Linked DNA regions of Oreochromis niloticus. Each later gene encodes a partner of the first gene's protein in a complex. Links are inferred from orthologs where the notes say so. Each region holds a gene or a part of one and is shown in the gene's direction. Other genes may lie near its edges. The genes, in order: pex14 and pex5.

Region 1 (7,594 bases):
TTAAAGCTTGTTTCATAGGTCAGTGTTAAGTGGCTTAACAAACCTCTCAGTGGAATACCTTCCCTAAAAAAGGTCAGGTACAAGGACTGCACTGAAAATGAGTACAAAAAACAGCCAATGCACAAAGCAAAATGTCAAAAAAGCTGAAGCGCAAGGCTTCAGCCTTGGAAAAACTGTTGCTCAAGGCTACCTAGAAGAATTACAAAAAAGTCAGGCTCACTGGAAGCAAAATATAAAGAAATAAAGGGTGGCTCCAGACTTTTGCACAGTACTGTAGTTCACAGAGTTTCTGTATCCCAGCTTGAATAATGACACAGAAACAGCTTTCTATGCAAGACTTAACTTGTTACAGAGTTTATATTGTGTATCCGTGTCACACTACAATAATCAGGGAATCTGATTTTCATATATTTATCTCAACAAACTATTTCCATACAGTAAACATGGCAACCACCTTAAAATGACACAGCCGTACCTCCCTGAGAAGGCTGACTTGTTTCTTCCTGTTGTCTGTTCTCCTGCTCCACAGTTTTCAGGTAAAGCTGGAGCAATTCTTTGGATTGCCTCTCTTGCTCTCTTCGATCTAAAACCCTCTGCAGCGTCTCCTGGAGCTCCTGGGCCTTTTTCTCTTGGAAGCCCAGAGCAGAGGCTAGTTCAGGGCATGGGGCATCCACTAAGGTCTGAAAAAGCAAAGTAAAACAATAAAATACAATTTGCGGCTCCTATTTTTAGATTGATTAACACACTTAAACACAGACAACAGCACATGTCGACAGCAAAAAGAACATCCCATTAGCCCGACCTATTATTTATGTGATTAAAAATAGTGACAAAGAAAGAGTGTTTATCACTTTCTTATACTTGACATATAATGTTGGTACCTGTAGGTCCGCCTCAGACATGAGAATAATGCTAGTCAGGTCCTGCTTCAGCTGCTGAGCCAGTTCATACCAAGGTGCTACAGTACTGGAGCTGTCCACAGTATCAGTCTCCAGCAACACAGAATCCCTAGCCATCCAAGCTGTGCCACCATCAACTAAAAGTAAATATCAAATTAACAGAAGGTGATGCATTCCCAGGATATAAATGATTGATGATAAAAAGGATGCAGAAAAATGTCAGACAAAAGTAAACCTGCTTACTCCTGCAAGGTGGAGACCACGTCTCTTTGTCATTCAGTAGCATGAATTTTGTGTTTGAGGGTAAACACAAAAAGTAAGCCTGATCTTCTACTACTGTCCCATCATTCTCTAGGACCACTGTGACTGAGTCACTGGAGTTGAACCCAAGACACTGTCGACCTGTTAAAAGAACAGAGAAACTACAAATATTATAGAGTGTCCCAGATTATTTTTATACTTCAAAGTGTTTATCCATCCATCCGATTCAATATCCCAGCTGACTGTTGTGGAAAGATGCGCCGCAAGTCCAGTTTAGCATAACAAATTAACCTCACATGCGTGTCTTTGGACTGTGGCGGGGGAACCAGCAAATCCAACACAGATCTTTCTCTCTGTGAGGCGACAGTGCCGCCCATATTTCAGAGGAAAACAATCAGTATTAGTGTATCCCATAAGTCAAATATTCAAAGCAGTAATACCTCAGACACCACCTGTTCATCAGGTGATTCAGCATACTTCCACATGTCAAACAAGTCAGTCCATTTAAAGAGTCAACAGCCCTTTCTTTAGAGCTGCTCCTATTTGCAATACAAAACATGTCTTACTTCCACTGGCTTTTAAAATTGTACATGTTTTCTAACAGCTATAAATCAGCACCTCTAGTTTAATAGTGCCCCAGCTCAATATTTCATATACGAGTATTTATTTATGTATATTGAATAGGAATAAAGGCAATTGATAACTTTAAGCTAGCTTCAAAACCAAGAGGGGGGTTTTCAGATAGCACCCTAGTTTTGTCACTGGCAGTTACAGGAGACTTTATCAGAATCAGAAACACACTTCTAGTATCTTCATGTAGGCGGCTTCAAAATCAAGGACCCAGCCTTGTCTCCTCCAAGCTCTGCTGACACATATAACAATCAAAGATGTAGAAACACTTTTATTAAACAGAGAAAAATGCAAAAAAAAATCTGGGGGCAACGCCTGGTGACTAGCCTTCTAGGAATGAGCAGGAAGAGCAATGACTTTTCATGTTTAGCTTCTGCAAGTTTAAACACGATGGATAAAAATGGAGATGCTGCTTCTGCTGCTGCTACCACACACAACTAGATAAGTAAGCTTATCGACAGCAATAGCAATAATCACCTCAGCTGTAATGTTGGTGCCTCCCAACACTCTCAAAAATCACTGAACATATGAAGTTCTTTCACTTTCGCAATAAGAGAACCCCGCTTTTAGCGCTCAGCACCAGTGCAAACTAAAATGACATTTAAATACAGCACCCACAACCTTTGACTGCGTGAGACGGTACTTCACGTCACTGTCACACACCCGTTCAATATTAATGAATATATAGCTTTCATTAAAGAGAAGCTCTAGCATGATAAAGTTCAGGAATGTAAAGTCATGACAACTTACCTTTTTCCTTAAGCTCATCTATGGAAGGAGCTACTACCCCATACGATTTTTGTCGTGTGAAATTACACACCTTACACGGTTTATCCGTCATTCTCGTCTGCGTTTAGAGAAGCAGATTTTGTGCTTTCTTTTACCTTAATACTGACAATTACCGACAGCAACTACCACCACTATCCTCGAATACGGAACTGCCGCCGCGCCGCTATGGAATCTGGGATATGTAGTTTAGCACATACAAAAAAACAATTCGAACAGGAAAACGCGGGAGAAAGAACTGCGTTTGTGTTTACAGTTTGAATATAACGCTATAACCTCTATAGCGCTAATTTGAGTGTATTTTTAAAAAAAAAAAAATCTTGTATTAACTATTTCCAAGCTCTAGGCATAAGAAATATGAGAATAATAGCATGTCCTTCAGAGGAGCTCCTGTTTTAAAGGTGGACTACCGCAAGTGACCGCTAGATGGCGACCAAAAAGTCTGGCCTGACAGTGGAGTCCAGTTCTTTCTTTCTTTTTTTTCTTTCTTAAAGACATTTGGTTGGTTAATTGCGTGGTGAAAATAAATAGCTAGGGAGCAGGTGGAAGAGAGCCTGGAGAGGTGGAGGTATGGTCTGGAGACAAGGGGAATGAAAGTCAGTAGAATCAAGACAGAATGTGTGTTTGTGTAACAGTGAAACCACCAAGAGTACAGATACTGAAAAGGGGGTGGGTTTAAATAGTTTAAATACCTAGGTTCAGCCATCCAAATCAGAGAGTGCAGGCAGAGTGGAGCGGGTGGAGATGATTATCAGGGGTGATTTGTAACAGTTGGATAGCAACAGCGGTGAAAGTAAAGGTTTATAAAATGGCACTGAGACCTGTATGCTTTGGAGACTGTGGCACTGACACACACACACACACACACACAAAGGAGGCGGAGCTGAAGGTAGCAAAATTGAAGATGTTAAGATTTTCATTAGGAGTGACCAGAAATTAAAAATCAGAAACTAGAAGTTAGAAATGAGTACATGATAGGGACAGCTCAAGTTGAGCAGTTTGAAGACAAAGTTAGAGAGGCAAGGCTGAGATGGTTTGAACATTGTGCAAACGAGAGGAAGTGGATATACTGGACTAAGGATGTTGAATGTGGAGCTGCCAGGCAAGAGGAAAAGAAGAGAATCGGAGAGGAGGTTCTTGGATGTAGTGAAAGAGGACATGCAGAGGGTTGTGTGACAGAAATGATGCTAAGGATGGGATGAAATGGAGGCAGATGATCTCCTGTGGCAACCCCTAAAGAGAGAAAAAGAAGACTGCATTATATGGTCCAAAAATGCACCACTTACATCACAATGTCACCTGAAACAATCCCTTTTAATGCTGTAAGTCTAGCATTTTGGGGTCTGACTTTTAGGGGGTTGCTGTAGCAAATGACTTTATAGTTTTATTTATTTGTTTTTCTTATTTATGAAATAGAGTAAATAAGTAGTATCTTCTTGCTGTGAATTCATTAAGTATTGTGATTTCTGAAGGGGCCCCGGGCAAAGCCATATTAAGCTATTATCTGGTGGCTGAATGCAAATCCGTTTCAACAAGTAGGGACTTACCACACCTCGTGACTAAGCTGTTGGCTTTGTTGTATAGATTTTTTTTCTTGTTCTTTAGGCGCAAGGGTGGGTTCAGCTGAGGAAATGATGAAGCTGACATTAAGTCTAAAGGTAGAATAGGCTCTACTATGACAAAAACAAAACAAACAGACAAAACAAATAAAAACAATTTACAAAAAATAAGTTTTCTTGGCAGTGAAAGAAAGACAGTCATCAACATTGACCACGCAGAAGTCTTAGTCTAAGATCTACTGAAGGTGTGTGAGCATGAGAATGTGCTATGAGGAAGCTGAAACCGAACTTGATGTGCTTTTATATTGTAGCGTTTCAATAACAGACAGTAAGAATGGGGAGTGAAACTTTGGAGTGAGACTCATCCTGCAGTGTCCCGTACTCCCCTGCAGGAGGCAGCAGTGCATCTTAAAGCATGTTGCGTGGTAGAAATATACCAGAATAAGAAGTGTGGCAGAAGGAACAGAAGAAGAAGAAGATGGCATCCAACGACCAAGCTGAGGCAACAACACAGGTCTCTATATGCATTAAAAGCGGTTTCTTTTTAATGTCTATTTGCGGTAGTGAACTGTTTTAGATATTTCGGGGCTTTAGATGTCTTAACGTTGGCATCACGTGCCTGGAAATGCTCACAAAGTTAGAGATTAGCATGCCTACTAGTTAGCATGCTAGCTAGGTTACGAGTCAAAAGTTGTCACTGAGACATGAGTGTGTTTACAAGTGGGCAGGAAGGGGCGTCATTTAGAGTTGCCATATTGTGTCGAAAATAATAGGGCATAGTTACTAGATTTGCCATTGTCATCAAACGATTCAGCTGTACAATTGCATCTGAGCGTGTAGCCTCGTCTTACTGTGTGCAGATAACTGTAGGTGCAACTCAAAGGTCAGTGTAGGCAAACAAACCTGATGGTTTCTGTTGGGTTGCAGTCACAGTGTTGGCTTTGAACTCACCAGCCCCCCGAAAACAAATGTCACCGAAGGTTTTTATTCATGTATGTCACCCGTGACTTCTGTACTTTTTGTTGCTACAGCTGAGATGCTGTTTTCAGAAAAAAAGATGTTTATATATGCTGTAGAGAAATATAAAAGTTTTTTTTATGTACATAGTTGAGAGCTAACGGCTTTAAGTGTATAGAAAGTGTTTACCAAATGCAGAAACTAATAAAGTCAAGGAACACTGTAATCAAGGAACTTGTGTGGATTGACAGTATTTACAAGTACTTGTAAAGTTATCACTCAGTTTATGAGCAACAGATTTCTACAAATCTACAAATGAATGCTGGCATGTGCCAGTTCAGTACTTTTTTTCTTTTTTGAAAATGCCATTCACGTAGCAGACAGGTCAAATTTCTCAGTGTGGGCAAATTATTTCTGGAAGTAAAAGAATCTGTTAAGCTATAACTATAGTCTAGTTATGTAAGTTGGTAGGCTTTCAAATATATTCTAAAATATTTATCTGACTCCACTTGAATTTGCTGGTTTCATGTTTGGACGTTACTTTTTATATAAGTAGCAATGACACTTTTAATAAAAGTTTCAACGTGACATAAGGCTGGAAGCATTTTCACATTACAGGCATGGGCCTGTTCAAGTCTACAATAGTTTTTCTGTTTCCCCTTCATCTGTGTGAGTTGCTTAGTTACAATAAACACTTTAAATACATTTTTATTGTTTTTAAAATTCTCTAAACAGTAACTGTAGCGTAGGAGTTAGAGCAGCTCATCTACTAATTGTAGGCATACAGACTGTTGCTCAAGTGTGCTTGCCAAAGTATCCTTAAGCAATTTCCTAACCCAAGTTGCTTTCTAATGTGTTCATCAGAATGTGTGTGAATGTTCCATAGAAAGTGCTAAGGCCTAGAAAAAAGTGTTTGTATGAATGGGCAAATGAAGTGCTTTGAGTGCTCAAATGGAAAAGCACTATATAAGAACCAGTCCATTTATATCATTAATGTTTTCTTTCCCAATCTTGTGGAAATGACAAATAGCCTTTTTTTATTTATTTATTTATTTTCCTGCCCATAGAACAAAATCTGTCCATATTTTACTACAAGCACTGCTCCATAAACGTCACAGTGAAATGGATACCCTTCCACAATCAACTTATTTGTGTTGTGAATTTTCCCTTCTTCACAATTTCTACAGTTTCCCATCTGTTACTGTACATAGGGAAATGTTTATGGAGTACAGCATGAAGCTAAACTCTTCACCATGATGAGAACAGGTTAAAAAACTTCTGAGTTATGACTGTAGTTAACTTTTGACAGAAGCTAACAGGAAGTTAGGTAGGTAGTTAGTTTGATGCTTGCAGCTGTTTCTAGAACTCTGTCTTCTGAGTTTATTACGTACCTGCAGAATCATACAGCAGCACAATGCATTCAAAAGCTTTTCAAATGCACGAGAGTTGCTCACATTTATGCACCCGACACCACAGAAGTAACTTCAGTCACAGTAAATTATCCCCAAAATTCAGGCAGTTTTGATCAGGATCTAGCAGCAGATAATATTGTGTTCTGTACTTCACACAGGCTCTGACAGGGTTCAGTCTGTATCTAACGGGGATCCTAATAAATGAAACTATTTTTAAGTGTAAGAGTTGCCTGATCAGTTTGCAAAAATTTGCCAAAATGCGAAAGAGTGCTGAAGCACTTTGCATAAATGTTGTTGATATGCCTGAAAGAAGCCGTGAGGCCTATTATTGTAAAAGTGTCCCATACCTGAATAACCGAATACTATCACTTTAATAGATAGAGCCAGCAACGTTACATACCGTGTGCTTGTAAAGGGCGACCATAGTTACCAAGCTTCAAACTGACATTACTTCTGTTTTCCACTAGATGGCACTCTAATACAAATGTTTGTTTATGTTCCCAGCCTGGCCTTCTGCCTGGAAAAGATGGAGCACGTAGCCCCAGAGAAGAACTGGTAAGAATTTATTCCTTAGTCTGAATTACATGAATTATTGGTAAGGAAACATTGACTGTAACCACAAAAACATTAAATGAAGCTAATGTAAGTAATGTAAGTGAGAGCTGGAAAGAAATAGCAGCTTGGATCAAACGATGCAAATATTAAATTACATTTCCTGTAAAGAAAACAAAAAGCAATGAATAGGGTATCATAATGGCTGGAAATAATATTTCAGATATTCTCACATGGCACACGCTGTGATTCTTAATACTAGTGCTCAGAAGTGTGGATTTTTCAAAAACTCAAGTATTAGTGCGATTTTGAAAGAATGAAAATCTTCTAATTTCTTGGCTTGATCTGGTGATGCATAGTTGAGGAAGATTATGATGGTTTTTCTCTCCCCCCCCCTAAGATCTGATAATTTAAAGACTTTTATTTGGCTGTATTACACATTCCCCAGGGAGATCCAGTATTAAAGGCTTCCAATTAGCAGACAGTCACTTTATACATCACAATGATGTCCCCAAGCTGTAATGAGAGTATACTTTAT
Region 2 (8,070 bases), on another chromosome or scaffold:
TGACACATCTGTTCATTAGACTAGCCCGAGAAGTCTGCACAAGCTCTTTTCTCGCTCTTTGCATCCTCTCCTGACACATTCCTCGGCCAAGTCCACACACAGAGTAAAGACAGTGAGGTCCGACATCACGGGGTCACGTATTCATGATGAGCTTGCAGGTGTTTTGCTTTTGTTTCTGTGAGAGCACTTTACGTTTTATTAGGAACTTATTTAGCGTCCACTTCATCCTTAACCCAAGCTGGCACTTCTGCAGCGCTCCAAGAAGGCAGACTGAGAGCCACTCGGTGTGTTTTCTACTTCAAAATCGAGTCTTCGCAAAGTTTCAGCTCGTGACACAAAATGACAAAACATCACCTCGTACAATAAAGCTGGTGTAACCTGACCTCTGAGCCCCCACACACACACAGTGACCGCTGCAATGCCTCTAAATGACTCTGACTGCACTGTTTGACTCACTGCACACTGCTCTTACAGTAACTGCAAGACGCCACATGCACACACACAAACAGAAACACGCAGACACACTCCATAACGCTACCCGTGCTGTTTCCAGAATGTCCGCTCAGCTTGGGCAGTTTTGATTGTATTGATTGTAATGAATTTTCTGTACATACGATGATGACTATTATGATATTATTGTTATTACTATTATTATTGCAGCCACTCTTTCTCTTTATCTGCACATTTGGAGAGAAAGCTGATCATCATTTACTTTTCCCCATTTGAGAATCACCTTAACAGCATCGAAAAATAGTATAATAATAATAATAATAATAGTAGTAGTGATAAGGATGATAATCCCTGGCTTGATGAGTGTCTCTTAATTTGTGTGTAATATTGTTGTAATTTAAGAACTTGTCGATATCACAGAAAAAGGAGGGCACATTGTTGTGATACCAAGAAGCGTCTCACTCATTTCATCTCGCGCACTTCTTGCCGATTATTTTTCACATTTCAAAATATTTCTTTATTATTTCTTTTTGTATTTGATTTCCACTACATCCGTTATTTTCGGTTTAATGAATGTACAACCGTGTGCTACTCCTCACCTTTCCCTACCCCACCGCCTTTTCCCTTCACCTCTCCCTCACTGTCCCTCTGTGTCTCTTGCTGTCTGTCTGTGTAGCCTATCAATGTGCAGTGCTAACGCTGTCAGTAAATAAAAGCCTGTTGTTTTTGAGTGTGATGTTAAGAAGGAATAAACATTGCATTGATTAAGAACTTATATTATTACTATGTTACTATTCAAACATTACCTGTAATTATTGATACAATGACAACATGGATTATGCTGACTAATTGTTATTGAGAACTGTCAGAAAACATTGCAAAATTCATAATAAAAACACTATATGACGTCTCCATGAGAGGGTTTTCTTGTTAGAGTGGGGGTTTTCATGCAAATAACAATATTGTAAGTATGACTTTGTACATGAAATTTAACCCTGAAGATTTAATCTTATATTACAGATTATGATATGATTATAAAATCTATTGTATGCACAGCAGAGAACATCGGAGTAACTTTGTGCTGAAAATTAGGGGGAATCAAGATTTCTGTCTAAATAAATAAATAAATCTTGGTAAATTCCCATATGATTAAACATGCAACTATTTTGCTGGTAATAACTGAATTGAGTAAAGAAAATCAACAGCCTATTTATGCAAGATAATTTATAATTTTATGGGGGGGGGTTATTGATTGGGTCTGATTATTGGGGGGGGGGGGGGTCATAACCCCCCCCAACCCCCTGGAAATTACGCCCCTGGCAGAGAAACACCGGGGAACTAGAACTAATATTACTAATAATAAAGACAAAACTACAAATCTGACAGTCAACACCAGAAGAACCATTAAGTCATAACAAGGACTAAACAGTCAATACTAGAATATCTTATGAAGTATCCAGACGTCTGAAGAATAAAGCAAAAGCTATAACCATAAAACAAACAAACAACAACAAAAGTAGCTTTTAGTAGATTTTAGTATTGGAAAAATATAGAAAATCATTCATGCAGCAATTCTAGAAAACAGCTAACAAAGAAATAGACATATGCTTTAAAAAAGGTAACTAGAGTAGAGAACTACTCAGAGAAATAACAATTTCAGAAGTTTAGTTAAAGGTTTACATGAAAAATTCAAATATATGATAAAACTTTGAAATTATAGTCAAAAATACTAAAAATCTGAGCATGTTTAGGATATTTAAAAACATTGGTTATGGTTAAAAGAAAGAACACCCTCTTTCAGTTCTAAGGCTTTATATCAGGACATAAAAAATAATGTAGTCCTTAGCAGTTCTTAAAACGAGGTAAAAACAAACATTATTTAACAAAAACTAAACAGTTGAGGTTTGTAGGCATTCATTTATGCACAGCTCTCTTAAGGTCTCACCATATATTTCAATCAGGTTGAGCTCTGGACTTTGACTGGAACATTGCAACACCGTGACTCTTTGCTTTTTTTTAGCCACAGTGTTGTAGATTCCCTGCTGTTCTTTGGACAATCGTCCTGTTACGTGACTCAGTTTATAAAAAGCTCTAGCTGTCAAGAACATGACCTCACATTGGATTCTCTTTTATATATAAAAGAGTCCATGGTCAGCTCAAAGACTTAAAGGTGCCCCGGTCCTGTGCCTGCAAAACAAGCCCCAATCATCACCGCTTCACTGCTGTGTTTGGTAGTTGACATGAGGTGTTTGTGCTGATAATGCTGTGTTTGTTCTCTACTTTGGTGTTGTCTCTCCAAAGCATACTGTTCCAAAAGCTTTGTGGTTTGTTCAGATGTGACTTTACAAGCAATAGCCCTGCTGCCATATTCTTTTTAGAGAAAAGAGGTTTTCTCCTGGCAACCCTCCTGAACAAACCATACTTGTTCTGTCTTTTTCTAATTGTACTGTCATGAACTTTAACATTCAACATGCTAAAAGAGGCCTGCAGAGTCTGAGGTGTAGGTTTTGGGCATTTTGCAGTTTATCTGATCATTTTCTGAGTTTTCCACTTGCAAATCATTCGATAGGCAACAACAACTGCTTCTCTAAGATCACTGCTAAAATCTTTCCTTCTTGACACTGTGTTAACGCACACAGACCAGCACACTGCCATAACTTTTATAGAGGTGATCAAATGTTATGGTGATCAACCAATCAAGGGCCTTTTGCTTGATTAATTGATCATCAGCAGTTAATCAAACTGAATAACTGGCTGCTCCCGGCTGCTACTTAACCTCTTAATTACCATGTACTCAGTGGGTCTGCTTATTTTTTTCACACATTGCTCCTTCTTTTTTAGCTTAACATGTGTTAAATAAAAAATAAAAGAATTCAGGAACTGTAATAAGCATGATTAGACAAGGATTATCATAATTATATTAAACCCAGATGAAAATGTTTTCACTTTGAAACATGTGGAAGACCTGAACTTGGCTGTTTGTGTTAGTACCATGTGGTAAACCTGCCACAGTGTGATGTGAGGATTATTTTCCTTATTAGCTTGGCAAATCTGGTACAGTACAGCACCAGATTTCTGTCCTCTGTGGCTGCTTCTACTTAAATAAATGACAGTAAACTGAAATAGAAAACATTCTGATCCTTTTTTAAGCAAAATGATCAGTTCAGCAACACTAAATTTACATTAAATGTCCTACAATTCAAAATTATCTGATCATATAAAACTGACATGTACTTAAAGTGTGACACACAATGTAAAGCTCAAAGTTTTATATAACTAGGCATTACATTGTATGTTTTTCTATCCAGGTATGCTTTTACACTATTGGCGACGTGTTTGGGATCAGTGCTGAAAAATGAACATATTGCAATTCAGATGTTTTCCAGATGGTACTCTATGCCTTTCTGTGTTCATAATTCCATAAATTTGGACAAGATCCCCAACACCACTGGCTAAAACGCAGCCCTAAACCATGACAGAGCCGCCACTGTGTTTACAGATAGACTCTCACTGTGTACGTCTCTCCTGACATCCTCTGTATATCCTCACATTTGAACCAAAGACCTGTTGCTACTGATTTTCGTTTCAGTTCCTGTGTAATTTGACATACTTCAGTTTTTTCTCCTTCTTTTTCCTTCGCTAACAGTAGCTGGATTAACTGAAGGGCCAGCTGGATCTCTCATGTCCTGTGTCAAGTCTTTGCTGGATTTTTTTCCTAATTTGTAAGGACATTAATTTAAGATACTGTTCATCTACTGAACACTACTTTTTTTGTTTGTTTTTTTAAGTACAGACTGCACACCATGGTGAGATATACCAGGTTTCAACTCATAGCACTTTTTTCGATTCTGCAAAAATACAGACTTATGTCTGTCAGATTGTGTTATCTTAGGCATTATTCAGATTCAAGTAAAGAAATAAGAACAAATGATGTGGTTTTATGATAAACTGCGAGTAAAAAAACTACATAAAGATAAAACAGCTTGTTTTTTTGGCTAAATTGTCTTGTATATGCAGACACAACGTTGTTAGGTGTCGTTTTTATGCTTACATGGTTCATATATCAGTGTTTAGTGGCTAAAACGTATAAACGTTCCTCTCAAAATGGTTTGGTATAAGAACAGGGCTGAATTATTTTTTTTTTTTAAGTGAAAATCTCTAAAAAGCGTGGAGAATTATTCCTCAAAACAAGTATCAAAGACAGAAATCAGGCTCTTTGGAAGTAAAATATAAAGAAATGGTGGTTGGCTGAAGACTTCTGCACAGCACTGCGCGTTACTTCCGTGTTTTTCTTTTTTTTAACAAATACATGTTTCATCCGAGAAGCGGACTTTGTTCTCAGGCATGTTACATTTTAACGTGAGGCTCTTTACGCTGTTTTTTTTTCAGGCACTAACGCTTCCTTACGCATGCGTAAAACCAGTTGAAGAATACGTAACCGGCGTAACGTGCACGAGCCAGGCTAGCGGTGAAGGGTTTTGTGGGTCATGGGGGAGGAAGGTAAATAAAAGCGGGGAGCTAATAGCACTCAGCGACTGGTTTCGGACGGTTGCTGGAAAATTTGTTCGGACGGAGGTGTGAGAGCGGGACAAGAGAGGACATACCGCCGGAGGGAGGGACTGTCGCTCGGATACAGCAGCAGCTGTCGGCGGTGAGGTGAACAGTATGCTTCCCGTCTATTCATGCTTCTTCGCTGGGTGCACACTACGGGAGTGATCTCTGCACTGGCCCTACTGCAGCTAGCCAGCTAGCCACAGCTGATATTTTTTGAGTTCCGGACGGTCGTGAGCGTCCTCGGTTTCCCTTTAGGTTTCATGAACAGCACGCTGGTTATATAAATACCACAGAGTATCGCTTATCGAGCTAATGTTGCTGTTTGTAGCTGAAGCTGCAGTTAGCCCCGAGCAGCTCTATTTTATTACACAGTGCTCCCAGAAAGGTAACAATGCAGGCAGGTGTGTTTAGTTGATATCTATAACTAGTGGACTATGTGTGACAAAAGCAACCTTCGCCTATTCCTATCGTCTCCGTGGATTTGTAGTCAATAAACAGGTGTCATAATGGCCCGTCTTTGGTAATGTGTGTATTAATATCTCTGTCTGATCCTCTTACTTTGACCCTAATCATAATACAGCAGCCATTTGAAGCGGTGGGACTAAAGTAGCCTTTAAATCTTCAGCCTGGACAGCAAGAACAACAGTCCACCTGTAAGGTGTTGTGTAATAGTCACTGAAGTGTTTTTAGGTAGACGCTCACATGCGAGATTAGGAAGGGAATTAATTTTTATGTTCCTCCTCTCCAGGGAGGTCAGCATATGTAATTGATAGGGGTCATTGAAGTTCAGCAGCAGAGTTTCATACATCTGGTACTACATTTCAGAGTGAAACAGTGTCACAGTATTGTTTATTATTTTGCTTTTAAATGTTTAGGTGAGTAATCATCAGATGAAACAGGATCAGTTGAAACTTTTGCAGTTTATATAGCTGTTATTTTAGACCTGATATGGAGTATTGTGCAAACATGCTGCTCTTCATTTCTTTATATTTTGCTTCACAGAGGAGCCAAACATTCTTGTAATATAGTAAAGTGGTCTTGAACACTTCTCAAGTTCTCAAGGCTTTCTGAAGGTATTTCAAAGTTTTTATTTAGATATTGGCTGTTTTTTTTTTTTTTTTCTCATTCATTTTTAGCCCAGTATTTGTACCTGACCAATTTCAGAAGAATGTTTTTTTATTTTAGTCTCTTAACACTGACCCACTATCCATCATTCAAGCATATAAAAGGCACCTAACACAAGCGATGCACCAGTCTTGTGTCGACTCTGGTACAAGCAGCTTGGCAAAGAATAAACTGTATCATCAGGTACTTTACTAGCAGCCTGTAGCAAAACACATCATTTCTTTAGATTAATTTGAAAAATGCCAATGATAACAGTCTGATATATCTACAATAGTAGTTTTGCTTCAACAAAGTAATTCCCAAAGAGCTGTTAGCTGAGTGCTTGGAATGTCTCAGCATGGTGTGCAGTATGTCCTTAAAAACCTTTTGAGCGAACCGGACAAGTGGAGGTGAAAAGAAGTGTCAGGCCTAAAAGAACAAAAAACTATTTACAGCAGACTGGAAATATCTCAAAGTCAGGTCCTTAAGAATCAGGAAAAAATCCATGAAAAACCTGGTCTCAGTGGAAAAGCCTGCGGTATGCCAAATTATCCAAGAAATTGACTGAAAATCAGTGGCAGCAAATCTTAGAATGATGAATCCAAATTGAAATTTTTGATTCAAACTGTCGTCAGTGCGGTACAATGGTGAGTATGAACCTTTTTTCCTCCCTTTCAGGCAGTGGTGCTGGGATCTTGTCAGAATTGATGGAATTTTAAACACAGAAAATCCATCAGATTTTGCCATTTGGAAAGCATCTGATTGAGAGCAGCTTAATTCACTGCCTGGATAGCAAAACACACAAATGGACATTATCAGTAATGGATTGTCCTTCCCAGAGCATCTACCTCAAAATGATTGAAGCAGTTTGGGATCCTCTTGACAGAGAACAGAACAAAAGGCAGCCAACGTCCAAAGAGGAGAACTATTCTTGAAGACTACTTAATAAAATTATAAGAAAGCTTGCATAACAAAGTTCCAGATATTAACTTTAAAGCACATTAGAGTAGTACAAATCTTGTTGGGGTGGTTTTTTTTTTTTTTTTCAGCTTATGTTCTATAGTTCAATGCATGTTTGCACATTTCAAGAAATCATTGCCAGTACATGTATTTTCAATTTTCCTAACAAAATATAAAGAAATGAGGGGTGGCTCAAGAGCTTTTAACAGTAATGCATACACAAATCCGGAGTATTTGTGCTAGCATTTATCAAAATAAGCATTTCTCAACTGATTAGAAGATTTGCTTAAATAAAATAGTATTATATGTAGTCAGTGTAATAGTATAGTGATGCTGATGTTATTTATCCTGGTAAACGCTGTTAAAAGCAAAAATCTTCTGAACGTACCAGATGAGTTAAGTGAAACATGCTGTGGATGCCTGTGCCTGCTGAGCCATCATATTCTCATTATTAATGGTTCACTAAGAGCCAGAAGATGAAATGAAAAACAGCAGATGGAGCTTGAATTTGTGTGTGTTTCATGAGGCTATTTGAGCAGCCTGAAGATTTCACTCGGCCTGTCAGCTGTTAAAGGGGTCAGGAAATTGAATAATTATTTTTAGATGTGATGGAAGGGACACAAAACAATGTGAAGGACTAACTGAACTTGAACTTCTAAAAACTTACTCTCTGGTACCGAATTTTGAAAAATGTCTTTCAGGGTTGAATATTTGGAGTGTTAAAAATTAAAACATTTTATATTTTGTTTGGTGTCTCAAATATTTAAGTGTTGTCATCTTCTAATTAGAAATTGGACCTCATACTGGATGCTTTAGGATTTGCAGCTTTTAATTGTTCCATTGAGGTGCTTCACTCTACATAGTCCATTGCATGATTATCACAGTAAAACTAAATATGAAAAAAGAAAATAAATGGTAATAGATAAAATCATAATTGGATGGCGTGGTGGTGCAGTGGTCAGCGGTGCCAACTTACAGCAAAGTGGCCTTGAATCCACCTGC

The links.
Region 2: the proteins of pex14 (region 1) and pex5 are in contact, whole or in part, in an NMR structure (PDB 4BXU), measured with the Homo sapiens proteins. The link is inferred for Oreochromis niloticus from reciprocal best matches to the Homo sapiens genes PEX14 and PEX5. Residues at the interface, in NP_004556.1 of Homo sapiens: Thr31, Phe35, Asn38, Arg40, Val41, Ser44, Pro45, Thr48, Arg49, Phe52, Lys55, Lys56; in NP_001124497.1 of Homo sapiens: Glu59, Leu62, Val63, Glu65, Phe66, Leu67, Gln70.

The regions. Positions count from the first base shown.
Region 1 is NC_031984.2:22,474,343-22,481,936, reverse strand, and holds the start of pex14 (peroxisomal membrane protein PEX14), read left to right. Parts: upstream 1-4,508; 5' UTR 4,509-4,613; coding exon 4,614-4,649; intron 4,650-7,008; coding exon 7,009-7,059; intron 7,060-7,594. Other genes in the region: dffa (DNA fragmentation factor subunit alpha), read right to left, coding at 476-680, 882-1,036, 1,143-1,301, 2,541-2,631. UniProt on the Homo sapiens protein: Component of the PEX13-PEX14 docking complex, a translocon channel that specifically mediates the import of peroxisomal cargo proteins bound to PEX5 receptor.
Region 2 is NC_031976.2:23,445,983-23,454,052, forward strand, and holds the start of pex5 (peroxisomal biogenesis factor 5), read left to right. Parts: upstream 1-4,870; 5' UTR 4,871-5,101; exon of another isoform or gene 5,102-5,106; intron 5,107-6,055; exon of another isoform or gene 6,056-6,077; intron 6,078-8,070.